2 linked regions of the Danio rerio genome follow. The main gene of each other region encodes a partner of the protein of the gene in region 2 in a complex. Links are inferred from orthologs where the notes say so. Each region holds a gene or a part of one and is shown on either strand. Other genes may lie near its edges. The genes, in order: nup54 and nup58.

What was found.
Region 1: the proteins of nup58 (region 2) and nup54 are in contact, whole or in part, in a crystal structure (PDB 4JO7), measured with the Homo sapiens proteins. The link is inferred for Danio rerio from reciprocal best matches to the Homo sapiens genes NUP58 and NUP54. Residues at the interface, in NP_054808.1 of Homo sapiens: Pro342, Tyr345, Phe346, Leu349, Val350, Phe353, Gln356, Leu357, Tyr360, Gln363, Ile364, Leu367, Leu371, Gln374, Ser378, Ile392, Tyr393, Phe396, Leu399, Ala400, Leu403, Ile406, His407, Val410, Lys414, Tyr417, Tyr420, Arg421; in NP_059122.2 of Homo sapiens: Tyr453, Leu459, Glu462, His466, Leu467, Gln469, Gln470, Gln471, Gly473, Leu474, His476, Leu477, Ile478, Ile480, Ile481, Asp484, Leu485, Ile488, Lys489, Leu490, Val491.

The regions. Positions count from the first base shown.
Region 1 is NC_133196.1:116,967-120,790, forward strand, and holds part of nup54 (nucleoporin p54), read right to left. Parts: intron 3,354-3,824; coding exon 3,139-3,353; intron 2,969-3,138; coding exon 2,781-2,968; intron 2,067-2,780; coding exon 1,870-2,066; intron 1,751-1,869; coding exon 1,696-1,750; intron 1,621-1,695; coding exon 1,527-1,620; intron 1,439-1,526; coding exon 1,331-1,438; intron 612-1,330; coding exon 492-611; intron 1-491. UniProt on the Homo sapiens protein: Component of the nuclear pore complex, a complex required for the trafficking across the nuclear membrane.
Region 2 is NC_133199.1:28,988,471-28,992,883, forward strand, and holds the start of nup58 (nucleoporin p58/p45), read right to left. Parts: upstream 2,985-4,413; 5' UTR 2,741-2,984; coding exon 2,646-2,740; intron 1,325-2,645; coding exon 1,161-1,324; intron 1,046-1,160; coding exon of another isoform or gene 1,043-1,045; coding exon 1,013-1,042; intron 1-1,012. UniProt on the Homo sapiens protein: Component of the nuclear pore complex, a complex required for the trafficking across the nuclear membrane.

The sequences.
Region 1 (3,824 bases), on a different chromosome or scaffold from region 2:
TTGAAATGGCATCAGATTAGGCCGGGTGAATGTTCACATTACCTTGATTAAGCTTGAACTGAAGCCTGAGAGTTCCCCTGCCTCAGACCCGGCCGGTGTCCCCGCATGAGCTGCAGAGGAACCGAGTCTGAATCTGCCATCAATAAACCTTCACTAGCCAACAACCAGAGTCTCCCTCTGCAGTGAGCGTCTGACAGCCAGAGTACACACTACAGTGGACACCGCTTTATGTGTGTGTGTGTGTGTGTGTGTGTGTGTGTGTGTGTGTGTGTGTGTGTGTGTGTGTGTGTGTGTGTGTTCACAGCTTTTGCTGCTCATTCGGTTCACTGGCGACATCGTGTGGACAAACTGTGCAGTGCAACCATTTCAAAAATGTGTGTGTGAGTGTTTGTGAGTGTGTGTGTGTGTGTGTTTGTGTGTGTGAGTGTTTGTGAGTGTGTGTGTGTGATCTGAATGCAGTGCTGATGGAGGAAATCCCCTCATGCACACACCTTGAACTGTGTGGGTGCGTTGAGCTCTGATTGGATGGTCTCCAGCTGCACCCGCAGGTGCTCCTCATCCAGCTGCACGGCGTAACCACTCTTCCTCTGCACCTCCTGCCGGATCAACACCTGCAGCGCACACACACACACACACAGAGAGAGAGAGAGGGTGAAGCCTGGTTTATTCTCGATGTGTGCGCTAGTTCTCTTGACTGTGACGTCGTCGCTGTGTTTGCGGAGGTTGGCCTCGGGTGTGTGACGTGATGTCGGTGTGTGGAGCGCGGGGTTATTTTCAGACTGCAGTGAACAGTTCGAGCAGCGGCGTGTTTGATTTGAGTTGAATATGAAACACTCTGAAGTGTTAGTGTGTAACAGAACGCCTGTACACACACCTGTATAATCCCTGATCAGACAGAACCTGAGCATCAGTCGTTCTTGGCCAGAGACTGCAGCAGCCGTGAGAGAGGAGGAAGATGTTGATAAATGTTTATTAAACTTGAGGGATGTTAAAGCCGAAAGAGGCCATGGCAGAAGCGGAGAGCAGATCCGCCATTACTGAATGTGTTCATCCTCCAGTCACAGGCTACACTGATGTGCACGAGACAGTTTACAAGCTAAATCTGTTCAATAGCTACAAAACTGTCATGAAGGAGCAGATGATGCACTGACGACTGGAGATGAACATCTGAGCCGGTCCGGCTACACTACACTGATGTCTGATTCCCCCCGCTTCACTGGTGATCATGGCCAGGAGTGTTGGACTAGTGTTGCCTATTCAGCAGAAGTAGAGCACAGAAACTAGCCAGACAGTCTGTGTGTGTGTGTGTGTGTGTGTGTGTGTGTGGTACCTGCAGCACTCTGTGTGAGAGGTCCATCAGTTTGCGTTTGTACTGTGTGATCTTGGCGGCGGTGGTGGCCTGATTCCTCTGCAGCTCACTGATGTCTGTGGAGATGATCTGAACACACACACACACGTAATGAAACACACACACACACATCAGTGGTAAAACACACACACACACACACTCTCACTCTCTGTCTTACGTCCACTCGTGTCTGGTGCTGTTTGGTCATCTGCTCCTGGATCTTCAGCCGGCGCAGCAGCTCACGGAAGCCCACCATCGGCACCGGAATCAGCCTGAAGAGGAGGAAGAGGAAGAGGATGAAGATCAGAGCAGCAGCATCAGGCATGAGTGAGTGAATCAGCACACACTTCTCTGGGTCTGGATTGTCCACTTTAGCCTGTTCCCAGATGATGGGGTCCACACCTGCGCGCGCACACACACACACACACACACACACACACACACAGTTAGCTGTCTGTTATTCATCAGCAATGTGCATCACAAGTGTGTGTGGCTGTGCTGGAGTCAGTGTGTGTGTGTACCTGCGGGGGGGTTCTGCAGCAGTTGTTTGAGCTGTGCTGGGCTCAGGGCGGTGCGGCTGACGGTCATGATCACGCTCAGCTGCTGCAGTTGTGTTTTGATGTTCACCTGCTCCAGGAAGTTGTAGAGCGTCGACGCCGGCACACGCTTAGAGGAGCCGTTCGGGGAGCGCTCCACCACATAGATGATCACCTCCGTCCTGCACGTGCACACACACACACACACACACAGATGAACAGCGCTCTACAGTACAGTGTGTCAGGGTTCAGAGGTCAGGCAGTGCAGTATGGGGGCTGTAGGGTCAGTGTGAGGCTCTACTGTACTCCTGCTCTCAGGCTCAGCAGAGCTAGCTGATGCTTGTATGAGCTCTAGATGAGATGACTGTAAGGCTCTGCTGCTCCAGCGTCCTCTATTAATAAGCTTCAGTCAGTGAAGCTGCAGCAGACATGTCCTCATCCCCGCGTGTTCTCCTGCTGCACCGGCTGCTGTTCAGTCCAGTATTGATCATCAGATATTGCTGCTTCCCTATAAATCTGTGAATAACCCAGCTCCTGTTCATCTGACCCAGCTTCTGTCTCGCTACAGCCCAACCCGCTCTTCAAGAGCTCTACACTCAGGGCTTCTGAAGAGCAGAGTCCACTAAAGGAGGTCGAGTCTTCTCCTTTATGGCTGACAGACCTGCTGTAGCACACACTCCTCCTGTCCTCATGCAGCAGACACTGTGTCAGAAACTCCCCACTGCTTCACATGTGTGTGTGTGTGTGTGTGTGTGTGTGTGTGTGTGTGTGTGTGTGTGTGTGTGTGTGTGTGTGTGTGTGTGTGTGTCTTTCTATACCTGCTGTCTTCATCCCTGCTCTTCACTTTCATCTGCGATACACTTTAATATGAGTCTGTGTGTGTGTGTGTTACTCACTGGTCGTCCGGCAGCGCGCGCACCCCCTCCACATTGACGGAAAGTGTGTGTGCTCCTCCCAGTAGTTTGTGCAGAGACTCGACCAGCTGCTGCTGCTGCAGACGCACATCTGCCTCACGCTTCCCCAGAGCCAGAGCCAGCAGACCGTCCTCATCACGCACATCTGGAACACAGCTGTAGCCCACCGCCTGCACACACACACACACACACACACACACACACACACACACACACACACAGAGATGAGCACAGAGGGACTACAGAAACACCCTGAAATAATACACACAACACCTTGAATCTGCAGAGGTGTGTGTGTGTGTGTGTGTGTGTGTGTGTGTGTGTGTGTGTGTGCGTGCACCTTGAATCTGCAGAATGGGTTCTCCTGGCTGAACTCTACAGGCGGTGTGGTGCTGCAGTAGTATCCTCTGCCGATCCCCCAGAATGCCTGCAGTTGGTTCCAGCGCGCCAGGATGGAGTCTCGCTCGTCACTGAGGACCGCCGGCGCTGAGAGAGCGCTCGCTGTGTTGAAGAGCTGACTGCACGGGGGCGGAGCCTGCTGGCCGAACACACCACCTGGGTACACACACACACACACACACACACACTTGGTCCACATGTGCTCAGATGTGCATCAGAAGTCGAGTGTCAGTTGTCCTGAAATGAGCTGCAGAGTGCAGAGTGACTGAGCTGACTGCAGCACACGCTGACCTCTGACCTCTGCAGTCGCTCAGTTCAGGAGTCATGTAGCTCAGGGCTTCTCAGCCGCTTCTCTTCAGGGCGCTGCCGTCTCTGATCAGTTTTTGAAGGCCGGTCTGTCTGACATGTGCACTAAAATGTGTGTGAAATGCTTATTTAAACACACACACACACACACACACAGAGTAAACTCTACATGTGCTGAAGCGTGAGGATGTGCTGGTGTTTGAGTCTGATATTGGATGTTATTGTGAGATGTCTGACAGTATCAGTGAGCAGCTCCGCCAGCGCGTCTGAAGCTCATCTGCAGGATTATTCCAGTCAGAAACACACTGAGCCTCGCTGGAC
Region 2 (4,413 bases):
CTATGAACAGGCAAAAAGACAAGAGTTTTGAATTGGCTTTCAGATAAGCTGAATTCAGGGCAAAACAAAATCAAAAAGTATTTTATAAATATACATATTTATATAATTATTTAAATATTTACATTTATATAAATATTTATAAATACTTCTCTATTATACCAATAGAAAGACATCAACGGCAGTAAATAACACATAATAGTGTCTTCAAAATATTGGAATTCGTAACGGAAATGTAAAAAAAGTCTATTTTCCTTTAACATTTGGGCTTGTTCTTACAACAACGCTGATTTGCCATTGGGTTCACGAGCTCAACAGAAATGACTGTGATTGGCCGTGAAGGTCATCAGTTCACTAAATTCGCTGTTGTTTACTGAGTGTGACCACAGATACAGGGACACTGAAGAATTTTAAAGCCATAAAGATCGCTCGTATGCCAGCTTAAAACAAACCAGCTGCTATTTGCGGCTTTACACTCAGTGTTTACACTCAGTAAACAGCAATGAGTTCGGTGAACTGATGACCTTTACAGCCGATCATAGTCATTTCTGTTGAGCACAGATAAACACAATGGCAAATCAGCGCTGTTTAAGAATGCGCTCAAATGTGAAAGGGAGGTTTTTTAAATTTCAGTACTGATTGGTATCAAATTACAGTAATACAGTGTGATAACACTAATACATAAAATAAAATCCTAAATCTTATTACCCATTTATGTAATTTGAGACCATGTAAAATAATTATAAATTAGTCCAAACAACTGTTAAAGCATTATAAAACAACAAAACAAGACAAAAGAAAGAATCAGAGTCTAGGAAAACCTGGTTAAGTGAGGTAAAGTCATTTTAAACATGTAAATTCATTAAATCTTAAAACTCTGTTCACATTAAAAAAATGTTCAAAGATGGGATGTCCCATCTTGGTTTCTTGCACCAAATAAAAATTGCAAAAGCTTATAACCATTTGAACTAAACAGGACAATCAAATGAAAGTTAAATTGTTTTTTATTGCTTACCTAACGAAAGGCCACTTGTGGATGCAGCAGCTGCTGAAAATGTTATCAGATGATAAATCAAAAATGAGAATTAACCACAACAATTTTATTATTACTCTATCAAAATGCTAAATTAAGGAGTGTTTTCGACATAAGAGCAGTCAGGAACCTGAGGCAGGTGTACTCAAGCTGAATCCAGTTGTTGGTTTCTGTGCAAATAAACTGGTCCCAAATCCCAATGTGGAGGTGGTACTGGTGGTGGCGGGTGCCGGTGTGGAGGTCTGTGCCCCGAAACCTCCAAATGAGAATCCACCTGTGCCTGCAGCAGGTGTGCTGGAATAGACATTAAAAACATGAAACAAATATATATTACTAAAATTATTATATAACAATACAGAAAAATATCTGAACCTTAAAACAATAAACAATTCACTAACAACACACAAATATACATTTTACACTGCTATTTTCATTTGTAACACTTTTTGAATCTTGTTTAAATACAATATGAACAGCAGCTATGCTAATCATTTTCTTAAGTCTCTATTTCCACCTAAGGATACTAATTTTGAGGCCCCTAGAGATTATGCAGCGTCATTAATGCCATTCAAGACATGTGAAGAGATGATCCCAAGGTATCCATAATCCTGGACCGGGCCATATCCCGAGCTGATGCCATGGATAATGAATGGAGTGCATGAGACTGATCTCTGAAAAACCAGTGAGAAACGAGTTCCCGAATTGATCCTGTGGGGTAGCCTGACCTCCCGCTGGTGTCCTACTCACACCTGCAGCTTCTCCAGTCTCGAGGTCCACACAGGAAGTTTGGCCAAAAGAATAATAGTCATGCCCAATAGGTCCTGGTTTCTCTCAAGGTTCTCTCCCCCCCTCACTTCGTCAATTGGTGAGGTTTTTTTCCTCGCCACTGTGGCCACTGGCTAGCTTGGTTTGAGACTTGTGCTTCGGTGGATTTGCTTCACAGTGTTTGAACTTTCAGCAGTGAAATTTAAACCACACTGAACTAAAATAAACTTAAACTCTGAAAACTGGACATTGCTAGAACTATGTTAAGCTGCTCTGACACAATCTACATTGTAGAAAACACTGTATATAAATAAACATGAATTGATTTTTAAATTGTGGACAATAGTGTGCACTTTTGTCAAACACTGAAAGTGAATTGAATCTTAAATTCTACAAAAAAATGACAATACCAAATTAGGCTTTAATTACCAACACACATTTAGTTAATACTTAGGTAACCATTGAAAGAGCTAAAGTGAAACAAAAAAGCCAGAAATACAACGCAATGTTACGAACCAATAACTTCAGGCTATGATGTTGAGCTAGTTTTTAGACTTATTAAAACAAAACGCAACATTAAACATGTACACATATGCAGCACCTATATAGTAAATAACTGTAGGTTAACTATGTTTATATATAACTTTAACAGTTAAAAGCTATTATTTACTGGTTAATTAGTTAAAGTTAATAGTAACAAATAAAATTATGGTAACTAATAACCTTAACTTTTCTGAATGTAATCGTAATGCAATAATATGCGCTTTTTGTGGAGCTGCTTTGAAACAATAATTATTGTGAAAAGCGTCGACTTGTACAAAAAAAACATTAATTGAATTCGTCCTCATACCTGGTCGCAGCTCCAAATGAAAACCCTCCTCCTCCAGCTGCTGCTGGTGCTCCGGTGGTCCCGAGGGTAGTTGTGCCGAAGTTAAAGCTAGACATTCTGGACTTAAATCTGCAAAACTTGACAATCAGAATCAAGCGGGTGTGACCTCGTGGAGGCCCGAAACACACTGCTTACGACATAAGGTGCAAAATAAAAGCAGCTGCCGCGAAATTCTGGACGGTATGAAGAAAATTTGAACGAACAACTTTAAACGACGAAACAGGGGTCTAATTCAGTGTTTTTAAAATAACTAAAATCCGTTTCAAGGCATTGAAAATATTGCAGCTCAATGCTTTGCGCGCACAATGTCCTCTTCGTCTGTTTCCTCTCTGTAAAATTCAAACATTGTTTGTTCATCCACATTGCCACCTACAGGTTTGGAAGGTCCATGCCATGTTCCAAGTTCACATCTCTCTCTCTCTCTCTCTCTCTCTCTCTCTCTCTCTCTCTCTCTCTCTCTCTCTCTCTCTCTCTCTCATAATTTTTTTTGCCTTTCAAAAACATAATAATTTAGGCCAAACTCAATTCCAACATAATCTTTCACAAACTGACTGAGACATGTCGATGGAGGACGAAACCTGCAAAAACAATAAATCAATAAATACGCAAATATATCAATAAATGAGTAAATAAATCCGGAAATTCCTGCATAAATAAATCAATAAATAAACAAACATGCAAAAAAATGAAAAAATACATGTATAAAATCCACAAATACCTGCATAAATAAATATATTTAATATAAAATAATGAATAGTGCTGACAAGTAAATAATTGCATAAATTACACGAATGTTGGAGGAATAAAAAAGATGCAACAAGTTGATTTATTACCCCCCTTTCAACCTTTATACAGGTCAACATGGTAATGAGAGGCTGTCTGTCATTCATCAGAAGCCAGTAAAAAAAATCAAATGCAAAATTTTTCTAATGATCAACCAATGATGGCATAAAGACCACCTTCTAATGAATGACAGACAGCCTCTCTAAATACTGAATAAAGGTTTTAAAAAAGGGGGTATCAACTTTTCGATATTGCATTTTTTTTATTCCTCCAACATTCGTGTTATTTTATTTTATTATTTACCAGCCCACATTATTATTATTTACATATTTAATCATACAGGAATTTGTGAATTTTATAAAAAGATAAATTTTTTTATTTGCATATTTATTTATTTATCGATTTATTTTAAGTAGGATTTTCTTAATTAATTTTTCTCATTTATTGATATATATGCATATTTATGTATTTATGTATTGCTTTTGCAGGTTTCGTCCACCATACATGTCAGATATACATTAATTTAAATATAAAGCCATCACATAAACAAAACAAACAAACAAACAAACAAACAAAATTTATATTAAATAACTTAACAAAAAAATAATCAACATACTGCGCAGACATCAAACTAAAACTTGGTGAGGGTTTAAATAAAACCATATTCTTGAAACAAATCATACATTATGCCTATTTTATTTTACCCTTCTTACCCTTCATTATTCTGAAAGCGTCAGGTGGCAAACTCCTTTTTAAAGATAATCAACTGAGGAGCTGTTTTCAAAAGTGTGCAACTATGAATGAAGAATTTAATTAAAAGAAGTTAACAATTTGCAGTTAAGTCATCATTTTTGTTGTTCAAATGTAGTCCAAAATTTACAATGTCCCAACAAATAGAAGGAAACATTGAAATATATTGTATCCAGTTGCCTACATCAAACCAGAG